Linked DNA regions of Tamandua tetradactyla. The protein of the gene in region 2 purifies or fractionates together with the protein of the main gene of each other region. This does not show direct contact. Links are inferred from orthologs where the notes say so. Each region holds a gene or a part of one and is shown on either strand. Other genes may lie near its edges.

Region 1 (7,029 bases), on a different chromosome or scaffold from region 2:
CTTTTAGAAAAGGACTGACGGATCACTCCGCGCTTCACCTTATCTTTCTATCCTGCTACACCCTCTCCTGCGCCAGACTCACCCATCCCCACCCAGAACTACAGCCTCCCCGACGGCTCTGAAATCAGTAGCCAGTTGCAAAGCAAAGAGGCAAAGAGAAAAGTTTTTCCTGTTCAACTCCAAAAGCTTCCTTTAGTGGTACCGTGTGTTTTCTATTAAGAGCCAGCACTCCAAAAGATATGAGCTGGAGTTTTTTAAAGTGTCATAAATTTTCAACTCTGGCAGTTTGCAGTGCTCCCTGAAATCATCGTCCACTCATGTATCTCGTTCCCCGTCCCCGCCCCTCCAAATGGATCAGGAGCCAGCCCAGAAAAGGTAAATCAAGTAACTGGATTATCCACCAGCTTAAGCCCGGGTTCTGGGCGGTCTCCTTTGGAGACTGCGGGCCTGAGAAGCGTGGACTGTTAGCCACATGGCGACCCGGCTGAAGGGCCCTGTGAGGCTGCGGGGAACTGCACTCTGTGGGGCCAAGACGGGACACGCCAAATAAGGAGTCCTACTGACTGAGTCTGGGGTGCGAAATGCAATTTGCCTTAAATAGGGCCAAGACAGGTTATCTCAATCACATTGGGGGCCTTCACTCCAGTTCTCCGCGAAACGTTCGCGATTTTTGAATTCCTTTCTTCAATACCTTCCCCCCCCCCCCCCCCCCCTTTTCCAAAGGCGCGAAGTTCTCTGTCGGTCTCAAGCAGGGCTTACAGCCCTCAGGGTACCCCTTGCCTCCAAGTAAAAGGCCGGACTGTGGCTACCACCGGAGTGCTAGCTGCCGGGTACGAGAATGCTGTCTGCAGTTCTGAGCTGCACCCTCCTGCCAGAGGCACACGGGTCACTGCAGGCCTCGAGAGGGCTGCGAGGTGAAGGGGGCTCGTGCACTGGGGCCGACAAAGGTCCCAGCGGCGGACGCTGGGGAAGCTTTGTGTGTAACTGCAGCCGTCGTGAGTGCAGTCTTCGCACCGCCTCCTTGATGAGGTTGCCTGAGAGCACAAGCTGCTGCAGGAGACTATGCGGGTCGTCATCGCCTGTGCCGGCTTCGGGTTGGGGGCCGCGTCTTTGCTGGAGGCGGCGGGATGCGGCGGCGCCTCGGAGCCATCCTCGCCGGCACGGGCCCGACAGCGTCTGCGGAGCACTCCCCTTGCTCGCTCCGGTTGGTCCATCAAGGCCAGGCTGGAAGGGTAATGGGGCCAGTGCGCTGGGACCCACCGCGAGCTCCGCCACGCAGTAGGGCGCAGTCCGACCTCGCACGCGGCCGCGGTCCCCTACAGCGCAGCGCAGGGCCCCGGGGGGCGCCAGGCCCGTGGCCTCCGCGGACGCGAGTGGCAGAAGCAGCGGCAAGGTGGGGGGCCGCGGGGGGTGCAGCGGCGGCCCCGGGGGCGCGCACGGGGAGGCCGGGCTGTCCTGAGCCGCATCCAGCTGCAGCGCCTCGCCGATCTGGGCCACCAGCCGGTCCACCTCGCCCGAGCCGCCCAGCGTCACCGACTGCTCCAGCAGGAGGAAGCTGTCCTCCTCCTCCTCCTCCTCCTCCCCCTCTGCTTCCTCGCCGGCTTCCTCTTCCTCCTCCCTCCGGCACGGCATGGCCTCCCGCCCGGGCACCGCGGAGCTCTGCGGGCGTCGCTGGCTGCTTGACCCTCCTTGGGGCTAGGTGGGCCGCAGTAGAGGGGCGGTCCTGAGACCCAAGCCCCGGCCGGAGCCGATGCGGAAACCGGAGACCGCCGGGCAGTAGAGCCGCGCGCTAGTAGCGGCGGGAGCCGAATCCTACCGGCTCGGGTTGATTTGTAAACAATGGGTGACGTCGGCGCCGGGTCCTACCACCGCGTCGGGGCTGGGGGGTGCTGCGCCAGTTGAGGGGCGGGTTCCCCCCACGGCGGGCGTCCACCGGGAAGTCTTGCTGCTTCTGCGTTCCCGACCACTGAGGGCTCTGAGTCGCGGCGCACCGGGGAGCTGTTCCTTATTCCCTCAGCCCAAGTGATGAGTATTTTCAAAACATGGACACCAGCCCGGACTCTGTTGGTTTCTTCCACACACAGGCACGCACACTTACACCCGCACACTTACACAGCCTTCGTCTCAGCGCGCCGGCTCTTCTGGTTTCAGCTTGCAGCTCTGGAGATCCGGATTGGAGGTGTCTGGGGAGTGGCGGCGTGGAGTGCTGGGGAGGAGAGGATGGAGAGGAGAGGGAGTCAGCCTAGGGGCCCGACTGGAGGTGAGGAAACCCGAAGTTGACCGGGATGGAGCGAAAGAAGCGATATTGTGGTGTGAGTGGGAGAGGCGGAGTTGGAGATGGCAAAGAAAGGACACAGATAAATGGTTTTTCTTCTCAGGAGGCTGGGTGTGGGGGTCCTGGTCTAGGGCTGGCCTAACTGGAGAGAGGAGGTGTGAGCTGGGAGGGTGTGTTAGCTGGAATGCCTCAGCCCAGTAGGGGAGAAGCAGAAAACGATCCTTTAGCCTCACGTTGCCGGGAGGCTTTGGACATTTATTTAAAAATCCTAAACCCCGCAGGTTTAACCTATAAACACCCAACTTGAGGTAGACTTTTTTTTTTTAAGACAAATTATTGAGGGATATTATCAGGGTGATGGAAATATTCTTAAATTGGATTATGATGGTGGTTGCCAAATTCAGTAAATGTACAAAAAATCGTTGAATGTACATTTAAAATGAGTGAATTTTATGATATGTTAATCAATAAGTTGTTTCAAAAATTAGCCACAAAAGACACACAGACACAAACACACAGAAACTAACTAGGAGTTTGGCAGTGGGAAGCCTACTTTAAAGTATTGAGCAGGAGAGTGTCAAGATTTAAAAAGAGGGGTGCAAAAGGAAGAGACTGAGCCTGGGGATACAGTTAAGAAAACAAGGGTTTTGGTGGATGGTGCTGAGGATGACAATTACAGGAGCAATTTTTAAAAATGGGTGGGTGGGGAGGAGAGAAGAGGTAGAAGAATTGGCTTTAAAAGAACTAGGTTTAGTTTTGTCAAGTGCAGAGGGATGTGGAAATAGAGTAAGAGGCAGTATGAAGAAAGCCATTGAATTTCTAAAGCCAGATAATCTGGCTTCTTCAGAGTGTCATAAAATTTTTCCTCTCACTTTAGTGGGTTCCTTAGGATTTTCTGTATACAAGATCATGCCATCTGCACTAGAGTTGGTTTTACATCTCCCTTTCCAATCTGGATGCCTTTTATTTTTCTTGCCTAATTGCCCTGGCTAGAACCCCTAGAACGATGTTGAATAGAAGTGATCAGAGTGGACATTCTTGTCTGGTTCCTGATTGTTAGGGGAAAGCATTCATTCTTTCACCATTAAGTATATTAGCTGTGGGTTTTTCTTGAATGATCTCTATCAGGTTGAAGAAGTTCCCTTCTGTGCTGTTTTGAAGCTGTTGTGTACCCCAGAAAAGGCCATGTTTTTTTTAACCCATTCCTGTGGGTGCTAGACCTATTGTGGGTCAGAACTTTTGGTTAGGTTATTTCAATTGAGATGTGACCCAGCCCATTCAAGGTGGTCTTCATCCTTTTACTGGAGTCCTTTGTGAGAGGACAAAAGACAGAAAAAGCCCAGAGAGCTCCTAGAGAAACACCAAGAGAGCTCATACAGAAAAGCCCCAGAGAAACTCAGAGATAACCTGCAGAAGCTCAGAGAGGAGGCCACTGGAACGAGGAGCTGAAAACAACAAAACTCTGGAGCAAAGGACAAGCAGATGCCAGCCAGTGCCTTGCTATCCAACAGAGGAACCCTGAGGCCAGTGGTATTTCTTCAGAGAAGGTATCCTGTTGATGCCTTAATTGGGATATTTTTATGGCCTTAAAACTATTTTGTAAACTAATAAATCCCCATTGTAAAAGCCATAATTTCTGGTGTATTGCATTCTGGCAGCTTTAGAAAACCGAAACACCTTTTATTCCTGCTTTGTTGAGTGTTTTTTTTATCATGAAAGAGTCCTCACCTCATTTTAAATCATAGGTCATTTGAAGGTACAGTAAGACAGCCATTTATTAATTATAATATTCTGAACCTGATTATGTAAAAATTTAAGAAGAAACTAGTTAGTAGCAATTAACAATTTGTGTTTTTATTCTTTGTTTCAAAATTCACAAGCCTCATACTCATACTTTGTCTTGGGGATGAGAAACGGTACAACTACTTTGGAAGAAGATTGGACAGTTTCTTCTGAAAGTAAACATACACCTACCTTATAACACACAATTCCAATCCTAGATATTTTAACAAAGGGAATACAAAATATCGGTCCACATTAAGGCTTATAGGTAGATGATCACTAGCAGCTTTATTCATAAAAGCCAAAAACTGGAAGAAGCCCAAATGTTCATCAATAGATGGATAGAAAATCAAATTATAGGATGCTAACCAAGGAATACTATTCACAAACGAAAAAGAGCTACAGCAACAAAAATGAATCATTTAAACATGGATGAATCTCGAAAACACTATGCTAAGTGAAAGAAGTCAGACAAAAAAGGGCATATACCATGGGGTTTTTTTGTTTGTTTTTTAATCTCTGATCTTATTTATTTGCAACTCTCAGAAAATCTTATTTTTGACTGGACTCAGACTTAGAGGTAGAAGCTCTCAGAGAGGACAGCATCCGTCTCTTGACAATCTGTTCCTGCATTTTTCTTTGGCCTCCTTCATCCTCTTGGCCAAAAGTTCAGCATATTCTGCAGACTCTTCCTTATTGTTCTTAGTATCCTGTTTTTTCAGGGCAATACACTGACGTTTATGTTGTAGGACGGGGTGGAGTAACAAGATGCTGAATCTTGGGTGCTTTGGTCCTGGGTCTCTTACCTTCTTTGTTCAGGGACTTTCTCACTACATACTGGCAGATATCATCTTCTTTAGAGACATTGAAAAGTTTGCGGATTTTTCTGGCTCTTTTGGGCCCCAGGCGACGAGGCACAGTAGTATCAGTCTGTCCAGGAATTTCCTTCTCTCCTTTTGTTACAATAACCAAGTTGAGAACACTCAGATTGGCATCTCCAATGCAACTCTGAACAGATTTGCGCTTTCTTTCTCCAGTTCTTCTTGGTCTATAACAGGAATGCCCCTTACTCAGTAAAAGGCGGACACAACCATGGGTCAAGACACCCTGCTTCATGGGGAAATCTTGTTTGTCATTTCCACCAGTGATTCGATGACATAACCCTTCCACTCATCACCCAGAGGGTCAGCAGCAACTTCTGTGGCCATTCACTTCTCATAAAAGGTGTGGAGTTGGTGTTCATTGTCCACTTCAGTGAGCTTCTGGTAGCCAGTGGTTGGCAAGGAGATGCTCAACTTCATACTGAGGCAACCAATTGCCTCCGAGGCACCACAAAAAAGAGACCAACATGTTGTTTTTAGTTGTATAGATGCTAAAGCAAATACCGTAAATGGGTTGACTTAAATACTGGGCATTTATTGGCTCACAGTTTTGTGGCTAGGAAAAGTCCAAAATTGAAGTGTTAGGTGATACTTTCTACCAGAAGATGGTGGCATTCTGGAGCTGACAGTGGGCGATCTTTGGTTCTTAACTTTTGGGCACGTGGCACTGCACATGGCAGTGTTTTGTGTCTCTTCCTGGTTCTGTTGACTTTCAGCTTCTGGCTACTCCCTGTGGCTTCTGTCTGTCTAACTTTCACTCTGTTTATAAAGGACTCCAATAATCCAGATTAAAGTACAACCTGATTCAGGTAGGCCATAGTTTAACTGAAACAACATCTTTTTTTTTTAATTTTATTTACAATGGGTCTACACCCACCAGAATGAGAACCAAGACCAAGAGCATGTCCCAGCTGAAGCATACGATTCAGTCCTTCACACACGTGATTCTTTATTTTAATTTTATTTATTTATTTATTTATTTAACATGGGCAGGCACCGGGAATCGAACCTGGGTCCTCTGGCATGGCAGGCCTGCTGAGCCACTGTGGCCCACCCCACATGATTCTTTATATATGAAGTTCTAGAACAGGGCAAACTAGTTTTTGGTGGAAAAATCAGAAGACTTGATTGTCTTTGGAGAAGGTGGGGGCAGGAGCAGGGGCAGCGACTGGCTGGGAAGAGGCCTGAGGGGACTTGAGGTGGTCCTGATAATACTCTTTATCTTGATAGGGATTAGGGATTCACAGGTGTATGCATGTGCCAAAACTCATTGACTGGTACACTCACGATTTCATTACATATAAATTTTATATGAAAAGAAAAAACTATAAACAGATACTGAATTCTAGTTAATAATAGACATGAGAAATTTAGTGGTGAGATACTGTGCATTTTTTTGAGTGTGATTACATATAATGACTTTATTTGAAGAGGACTGTTCACCAAGATATTAAGTTAGGTACTATATAAGTACCCAAAAATGAAGGTAGATCAATGTATGGACAGAAGCATGGTTAGATGGGTAGATATATGATAGAGCAAGTGTAATAAAATGTTAATATTAGTATATAATACAGCAGTTCCACTCCTAGGTATATCTTCAAGAGATTTGAAAATATATGTCTGTACAAGCTTGTACATAAATGTCAACCAGCAGCATTACTTGTAACAGCCCCAAAATAGAAATGAACAATTGGAATACCCAGCAACTAATGAATATATAAAGAAAATGTGATCTATCCATACAGTGAAATATTATTCTTCAAGAAGAATGAAGTACTGATACATGCTACAACATGAACAAACCTTGAAAACGTTATGCTAAGTAAAAGAAGCCAGACATTAAAGGCCACATGCTGTATGATTCAATTTATTTGAAATGCCTAGAATAGGCAAATCCATAAAGACAGAAAGTATTATCAGTGGTTGCCAGGGAATGGGGGAGGAGGATTGAGACTAACTGCTAAAAAGAATAGAATTCTTTGGGATTGGGGGAGGGGGGTTGAGACTAAATGCTAAGAGGGGTGGAATTTCTTTTTGAGATGATGGAAGTGTTCTGGAGTTAGAAAGTGGTAATGGTTGTGATGCTGA
Region 2 (8,086 bases):
CCTGCATTAGCTCAAGCAACAGGAGACAAATAGTGACCATCCGATTCACTCTGGTTCCCACCACTCCCTATTGCTTCCCATGGAGGCTTCTGGGGCTTTGAACCCTTTGCTTGTATCTGACTCCAGGCTTCTAATCCTTACCTTCTCAAAGGAGCCCAAGCCTTAGACTCCTCCCAGGAGACCTGGTCTGAGCTTCTTCCTCCCCTCTATTCCCTTGGGGGTGGGGTGTGTGTGCTAAGAACCCCTGACCCCCTCATTCTAGGATTCAACTCTAATGAAGTTCTGGCTGACACCTGGAACTCCTCCTGCCCAAGAATTCTCACTACTAAGACCCAGGCCCTGACCTGGGTCCACTTCCAGGCTAGACTCACTTCTCCTATATCCAGACTAGCTTAGATTCCAAAATGCCAGTACTTCAAATAGCCCTCATCCCTGACTTCCATCTCTTCCATGTTCTTCTAGTTCCCTGGGTCTCCACTAGCTCATAGAACATCTTTGTATGAATGACAAAAGGGTATCCCTTTCTCAAGGTGACAGAGACCTGCACCGAAGCGCATGGTTTGTGAGTAGGGGGCAGAGAACTAGATTTCACCCTATATCGCCAAACAACCTGGGGCAGAGCGCAGCCTTCAGGATCTTCATAAACATCAGCAACAGCCCTGCCAATTTCCTTTCTCTGTCGGCTGGGAGGGGGATGTTATCTAGTGGTTAGGATGCAGGGCTTGGGAATCACAGGCCATGTTCTAGTTTTGACCTCAGGCAATTCTCTTATCTGAGTCTCAATTTCCTCTTACTTAGAATAGGAGTAACTATATAGTACCAAACCTTAATCCTTAGAGAATTTTTATGTAAATTAAACAAGAGACCCTGTAAAGCAGAATGAAAGAATGAAACTGCGCTTTGGACTCTTTTTGGACTCCTGGATCCCACTTTTTTCTCTTCTACACATTTCATTTCCTTCCCTTCTCTGGGCCATGCTCAGAGCCCCCTCTGAAATCCCAAGCTCTCAGCTATCATGCTGGGGCTCTCTCACCAGTAATGCCCAGTCCCCAAACTTCCTTGTCCCCAAACCTCCTTGTCCCCATTTCCCCCAAGTTACCTTGAACCTTTTGTCCTGGAGAACCTTCTTGATGGCCACCAGCTCCCCAGTCTCAGCCAGCCGTGCCTGGTACACGACCCCAAAGGAGCCATTGCCAATCACTTTGATGTCTGTGTAAGCCACCTCCTGGGAGCACTCTGGGCCCTGGCCTAGGGTGGCTACCACTGTGGTCACCTTCCCGCTGTCACCTGGGGGACAAAAGGGACACACAATTGACTAACCTTTCCCCTCTGAACATTAACCACCACCACCACCACCACCCCCCAGAGCTTTGAGGGGAGAGGGGAAAAGAGATCTGTGTGTGACCTCTGTCCCTTCTCTCTCCGTGAGAAAGGTGGATGCTGGAGCTCTCCCAGTGACCTTTCCCCTCTCCCCTTCATGTAAACCTTAATTCTGCCTCCTCCTGTACATGAAGATATTGACACCTAAACTGTTTTGCAGTTCAAGGACTAGTTAACCCCAATTTCCAGTAAGCCACAAATCACTGGTCTTACTATGGGGAGACACTGACACACACACAGACATACACACAGAGACACACAGAGACACACACACGTTGAATCTATCCACTCTGGGCTTACTGATCTTTGGCCCCTCCTGTCTGGGGAGAAGCCTGACCTAACCTCTTCCACTTAAGGGAACAGTAACCTTGAGCCCTGAGCTACTCCTACTCTGGGAAAGCACTAACCTTTGGTTTCTCAGTTTGGCAAATAGTGACCTTTAAGTCCTACTGGGTAGAGCAGGTAACTTCACCACTGGTTCTTGATGACTGAATAAATGAACTCTTCTAACATGAATGGTAATGCCCTGACCTCACTTTTTGGAAAGTTACCCCTTATTCAAATACTTTCATGTTAGAAAACGCACTGATCTGACCTCCTCATCTGGGTGGTTCACAGTCCCACAATCCTCACTGTATGGATGGTCCCTAACCAAGAAGCATCATATTGTTAGAATAGTGAACCTAATCTCTACTCTTAGAAGGCTATCCTTAAACTCTGATTCCCAAATTCTATTCTCTTAAGGCAGCAAACCTTCATGCCATTGCTAGGAGATGGTCACTGCTTTTCTTGGATGAAGCTGCTGACCCTAATTCACTTTGAAGGGCCATCACACTTTCTTTTGGAAGATGACCCTACATTGTGATTTATTTCAAAATCAATGACACATGCCCCAAAATAATTATTGAAACTTATAACCTCTGGTCCATACTCTATGGGGGAATTGTGTCCCTTCATTCCATTTTTGTGGAGACCCACCATTTTTTTTTTTTTGAAGAGCAGTGACTATGGACTTGAAGGATACAGTAACTCTTAATCCCACTTCTGGAGGACTGGTGACACTTGTCCTTATTTCTAAGAAACAGTAACCATTAATTTCCACCATTGGCGGTACAGTTCTACAAACTGTGAAAGAGCAATGGCAACAGACCTTGTATTTTAAAAGAGAAGACAACCAGGACACCAAGTTTGAAAAACTCTGTCTTATTATTTGGGGACACAATAATCCCAAATCCCTGTTTCTAAGTGGTGTTGACTCTTCTCTGAGGGAGAGCAAATTCTGAGACCCCTTTGTGGAAGGGGGTGGTGATCTTAATCTTGTTTTTGTAAGAGGACAGTATAACAATGAATTTGTTCTCTAGGGGATGGAATGTCAGATTCCTGTTTTTAAGGCTCAAGAGATCAAGATCTAAGTTTTGGAAAAACAAGAACCTGTGACTCCTTATTTCTTTGAGGGTTAGTAATTGTGATCCTAAACTCCAAGCGATGGTACCCCCCTAAACGCATTCCTCCGGAAGGGAGCAAGCTCACACACCAATTTGGGGAGGCACAGTGACCTCAGGTTCCTATCTGGGTGTACGAAAAGAACTGATCGACATTTGAGGGGCCTCGGGAACCCGTATCTCCACCCGCCAAGGGCGCCGTCAGTACTCACGGCCCAGCTTCACTCCAGGCGGCGGGAAGGTGGTGCCCGCGCCGGGGCCGCCGCTGCTTGTTCCGCCGCTGCCGCTGGGGCCACCCCCGGAGCTCGTGGGCCCCACGCCCCCACCCATGGCCCCGACCGACGCCTTCCCGCCGCCGCTGCCACCCGGGCCGGAGGCCGAACCCCCGGGGCCGCCGCCGCCACCTCCGCCGCCACCACCCGGCTCCGCGAACGAACTGGTTCGCGCCCGGCCCGAGCCCCCGGGGCCGCCCCCCGAAGGCGCGCCGCCGCTCATGGCGCCGAGAGCAGGCCCAGGCTGAGGGGCTCGGGCTGCCCGGGCTGCCCCCGACGCCGCCGCTGCTGCCGCCTCCCCCGGGCTCCGGCCTCCTCCAGGCCTCGCCGCTCGGGCTCGGGCTCCGGCTCCAGCCCAGCGCCCGCCGCGGGGCACGCCGGGAGCTGCAGTCCGCCTCTCCGGCGCGCAGTCGTCACCGCCCTCGGCCTGCGGGCGGTAGAGCGAGTCGCTTGGCACGCCGGGAAATGGAGTCCTGGGTACTCCGTCGGCCGACTGTGCCGACGGCCGACCCTACAGCACTTTGGGAAACAGAGTCTGAGCGGCACACTCACTCCACCACGGCAAGGCGTTTCGGAGGTGTGCCTCAGAAATATAGTTGCAACCGCTCCATCAGGGAGCGACATAAACCTCTTGCGTAACCGGAAGTGAAGTCCAGCCTCTTAGTCCGTTGGGCATACATGCCTGCCCGCGTTAGGTGCACTCTAGGAAATTACGCCCGTTGGCTCACAAAAATCCGCCGTGTGGCAAGCTGGGAAATGGAGTCGTTGCCACACCCCCACTGCAATGCGGGTGTAAAGCGGTTCCAAGGCACTCCGGGAGATGGAGTCCCACGTGGTCCATGAGCCTCCAGTGGCTACTGCAGTTCCGGAGATAGGCTAGAAAATGAAATAGCTATGGCTCGCCTCTACTCCATACGCTCGGCCGCAGTTCCTACCGGGAAATGTAGTTGACACCAAGGCTTCAGCGATGTGTCTACAGCGAGCCTTTGCGGCTTCTGGGAAATGGAGTTCAAGGCTGCCTCCCCATCGACCGAGGGGGTAGGGGTTTACCATGAGCCCAAAGCATGCTGGGACTAGTCCAGCCCGGATCCTGACCTGCGGTGAAACGAGACTGCCTGGGCTTGTCGGGAAATGGAGTCCAATGAATACCACCAGGAGTGTGTGGGCAAAAAAAACAAAGCAAACAAACAGAACCCCCTGGGAAATCGTAGACCTGTTTCAGCCTTCTTCCCCAACCCCCAGATACTAAGACATGTAATTCCCAGGGGCTGCTGGAAAATGTAGTCCAGCACTCCTTCAAGTTCTAGATGTCTACATTCCGGGAAGAAAAAGAAAAATGCGCCTCCCACCCAAAGAATCTAGGAAATTAAGTTCCCAACGATGTCTCAGAATACTACACAATCTCCGTATATACGCTAGCACTTTCTAGCAATGTGGATCATACTAGGAGTCTAAGCTGAAAGCTAAAAGAGACTGTGTCTTCCGCTTCCTACATTACGGAATCCGGGAGGGCTCAAGACAAGGAAGCCGGTTGGAAGAAGCAGCATCAAGCTTTGTGCATTCATTGAATTACCCGATTTATCGATTAATACCAGGAAGGAGAATGTTCCAAAGGACGCTGGGAAACAGAGTTTTTGTGTCTCCTTCCCACCCCGCCTCCGGAAACACTTGAGATGAACACGCTCTCAGCCCCTCCCGCCTCGTGAAATGGTGGGAAAGAGCCTGGATTTCACTTTAATCTGAGCCTAAGTGTATACAGCCCTGCCCTTTCGGAAGCCGGGAGAAGGTTCCGTCCACTCGATCTATTCCTGAGTGCATTTCCCAGTGGACACAGTTCCCGGGGACAGGACAGGGGGCAGCGCTGGAGCCGTTTCGAACTACATTATCCAGAAGGCAAAGTACGGCCACAGTTCCGCTCTTTCTCACTGCTTGCGACTTTATCACGCACAGCTCGGAGCAATTTTTTCTGGGAGTTATAGTTTCCCAGCCAAGCAGCGCCTGCTGCCCTCTGACGGCAGCTCTGAGTCGAAAAGCAAAAATGTGAACCAAGCCCGAGGGCTTGGGGAACGCGAACCTGCGCGCCCACAAGGCCGATGGCCCGAACGAGGCAGGGTAAAGACTGTTACTTAACGGCCAGAATCCGCGGGAAGTGCGTAGTGGGCCGCGCGTGGGCAACCGCCACCGAAGAGCCTGGGGTCCGCGAGAGTCTCAGGGCGACTGTAGGAAGAAATCTATCAGGCCATTCATAGGGGCTGAGAACGTTCAAAGAAGGGTACTAAGATAGGCTGTAAATGTTTGTGAGTAGCCTGAAGGTGCCTAGAGAGGTGACAGGGTCTTTGATGGGACTTTCTACTTGGAAGCAGAGATCTTGGAAGACATGGAAGGGACCAAGGGTGTGGTCTCACAGGAACTTAGCTTTTCAGGCCTGCAAATGAATTTAAGTGGGTCATTAAAGATTGGGGTTGCCGCTGGAATTTTGAGGCCAGGTGCCAGACAGTGTGGCATCCCACTCAGCCGGAATCTGGAGCAATAAGTCTAGTTGGACCCTGGCCTGAACAGGAGAGCAATTCTGGAGATGAGGACTTTTGAATCCATGTTAGACTTGGTTAGAGTTGTTTTGAAGGCACCTGGTCTGGAGGCTGAAGCTACTAGTCAGGGTCCTATCCTTCCCCCCAATTATGCCATGCCCCTTTCTCCATCACCCACCACCACCAACTTCTCAGCTGCATCTGTGTTGCCAGGAGACATACCTCAGCCCAACTTCCAGAAATAGCCCAGCGAAGCTGCTCCCAGTGGTCCCCACCCCAGGGAGTGACTTACATCACCCAGGAGAGGGAGCAGTTGCCTGCAGGCCACCACGGGAGCCTAGGTTTCCTGCCAGTATCCCAGCCCTGGATCCTCTCTTCATTGCCATCCATGATCTGGGACCACCCACCCTGGGCTGGCAGTAGATGAGGTCAAAGCAAGAGTGGGTAGCAGTTACCCAGCCAATGTTCTTTCTCCCTCAGGGTTACACAGGGTGGGATTTCATGGTGAAACCAATCCAGCAGCCCCTGAGCCCTACCTTCTTTTAGCAGGTGTGTGGCTTTAGGGAAATCCCTTCCCCCTCTCAGCCTCAGGCACCTCACCTCCACTACAGAGGTCAGGCTCTTCTCTAAGGGCACTTCCGGCCTGAATTCCTCACTCTCATTCTCTTAGCCATTATCAGAGAACTCCAATCTCTGTTTCTAGTTTCACAAGCTCACCTCTCAGATCCTGTGATGGAGTCCCTGATCTTGGGCCAACCATTTTAGCTTCAGGGAGCACTCCATTGTCAAAAGAACTTGGAGTTTGTACACAGAAGTCCTGGCTCAACTTCCTACAGCCTCATGGCCTCGAGCGTGTCAGTCGTTTTAACTGTGCCCATCGTCCCTACCTCACTGGTTGTTGAAGGAGCTTCTAGCTAAGTACTTGGCACAAAGTAGGCCAATCAATGACAACTATAATTATTGAGCCAGTCCCTTCTCAAGTTGCTGGCTTGGGGTGTTCCCATGGTTCCTCAAAGATCATTAGGGTTCCTGGCGAGGTCTACATTTCAAAACACAGTGGGCCATGTCTCCAAAGGACTCCCCAGATTAGTTTAGAAACACCCAGAGGAGGGTGCCGGTGTTAGAATGTGAGAGTGCAAAAAAACCATCTCTGATTCTCTTGGGGAATCGGGATGTGGGAAGGAGTCACAGAACCAGGGAAGGGCATTTCGAGCCATCTAAACTGCCTGGGCAACAGGGTAGAGATGAAGAGTTGAAAGCACTTTCATGGAAGTGCAGGTCCTTTACAGAATGGGGCAGTGGTCAGCTCTAAGGCCAGAGTGTGACCTGAGGTTTATGTAGCCCTGAGGTCAGGAGATTTTTCCCAGGCCGTTTTGACCCAGTCATTTGGGCTCAGACCCTCTGGCCACAGATCTACAGGGGCAGGTAGGGAGGTAGGACCCAGACCAGATCCTTGTCCTTCAGAATCAAGCAAAGGCTGTGCCCCACACTTAAGACAGATGACCGCATCAAAAGGTCCAAAGTTTTATTGTTTGGAATACATTCTCCAGCCGCCCCTCCCTCACTCCCTCCCCACCACCCTCCATGCCCAGTACAGAATAAGGCTTGACCACAGCCCCCACCCCCACCCCACCCGAGGGGCCCCTGCTGGGAGGCAGAGGGGGCTTCCAGTTTGGTTTCAGGGCAGCCCATTCCCACCCCACCCCCACCCACCTGCCCATGGGCCAGTCCTAGGAGCAGCTAAAGGTGAAGGGGTTGGACCGGTGCTGGGTGGGGAATGAGAGAAGGACAGCAGGCACTTGAAGAGATTTGTGGCCCATGGGTGGCACCCCTCACCCTCTTCCACTTCCCACCGCCCACCACGCAGAATTTTTGGTTCATCATAAAATTGTCCCTCCCTCCCCTGCTGTTACCTTGTGGGGTATGAGAAGCCCAGGCACTCACAGCCCCTGGAGGGGCAAGGAAGGCAGGGTTGGGACTGGGAATGGTTGTGGGGCAAGAGGGAGAGGTGCAAGAGGCAGAGGCCAGGGAGGGAGACAAGGCTTTACTTCCTAAGCGATTGTAATAAAAAAGTTCCTGGGTATTGAGACCAGAGCCTCAATTCAAATAAAAATCCCCAGAACGGCAGTGGCCCCCTTAACCTCCCCCCTCCCGTCCTCCTCCCTCCCCCACCTTGCCCAGAGCTTAGAAACCCACAGACAGGGGACAGTCCCCAGTTCTGGGCACCCACCCATCCCGACCATTAAAAAAAAAATTAAAGTTTTATACAAAATATGGGGGGGGGGGCAGGGAGAGGGAGGAGGCAGAGAAGAGGCAGCTGCCCTCACCTCCAGGGCATTGGGGGGTGGGGTGGTTAAGGCAGCAAAAGAAGCATGGGTATGGGGGCACATGGGTCCCCTGCCCACAGACCTCAGGAGTCTCGGTGCTCCAGAGAGAGCTGGGCCGTGGCGTGTTGGAGATCAGA

Evidence for each region. The genes of interacting proteins can lie anywhere in the genome.
Region 1: the proteins of GSK3A (region 2) and FRAT1 purify together in Homo sapiens (affinity purification with mass spectrometry; 4 studies listed by BioGRID and IntAct, with this or other methods). This does not show direct contact. The link is inferred for Tamandua tetradactyla from reciprocal best matches to the Homo sapiens genes GSK3A and FRAT1.

Annotation. Positions count from the first base shown.
Region 1 is NC_135339.1:58,635,506-58,642,534, reverse strand, and holds FRAT1 (proto-oncogene FRAT1), read right to left. Parts: upstream 1,825-7,029; 5' UTR 1,633-1,824; coding exon 820-1,632; 3' UTR 703-819; downstream 1-702. UniProt on the Homo sapiens protein: Positively regulates the Wnt signaling pathway by stabilizing beta-catenin through the association with GSK-3. May play a role in tumor progression and collaborate with PIM1 and MYC in lymphomagenesis.
Region 2 is NC_135342.1:21,910,309-21,918,394, forward strand, and holds the start of GSK3A (glycogen synthase kinase-3 alpha), read right to left. Parts: upstream 3,461-8,086; 5' UTR 3,318-3,460; coding exon 3,035-3,317; intron 1,288-3,034; coding exon 1,100-1,287; intron 1-1,099. Other genes in the region: ETS domain-containing transcription factor ERF, read right to left, coding at 8,033-8,086. UniProt on the Homo sapiens protein: Constitutively active protein kinase that acts as a negative regulator in the hormonal control of glucose homeostasis, Wnt signaling and regulation of transcription factors and microtubules, by phosphorylating and inactivating glycogen synthase (GYS1 or GYS2), CTNNB1/beta-catenin, APC and AXIN1.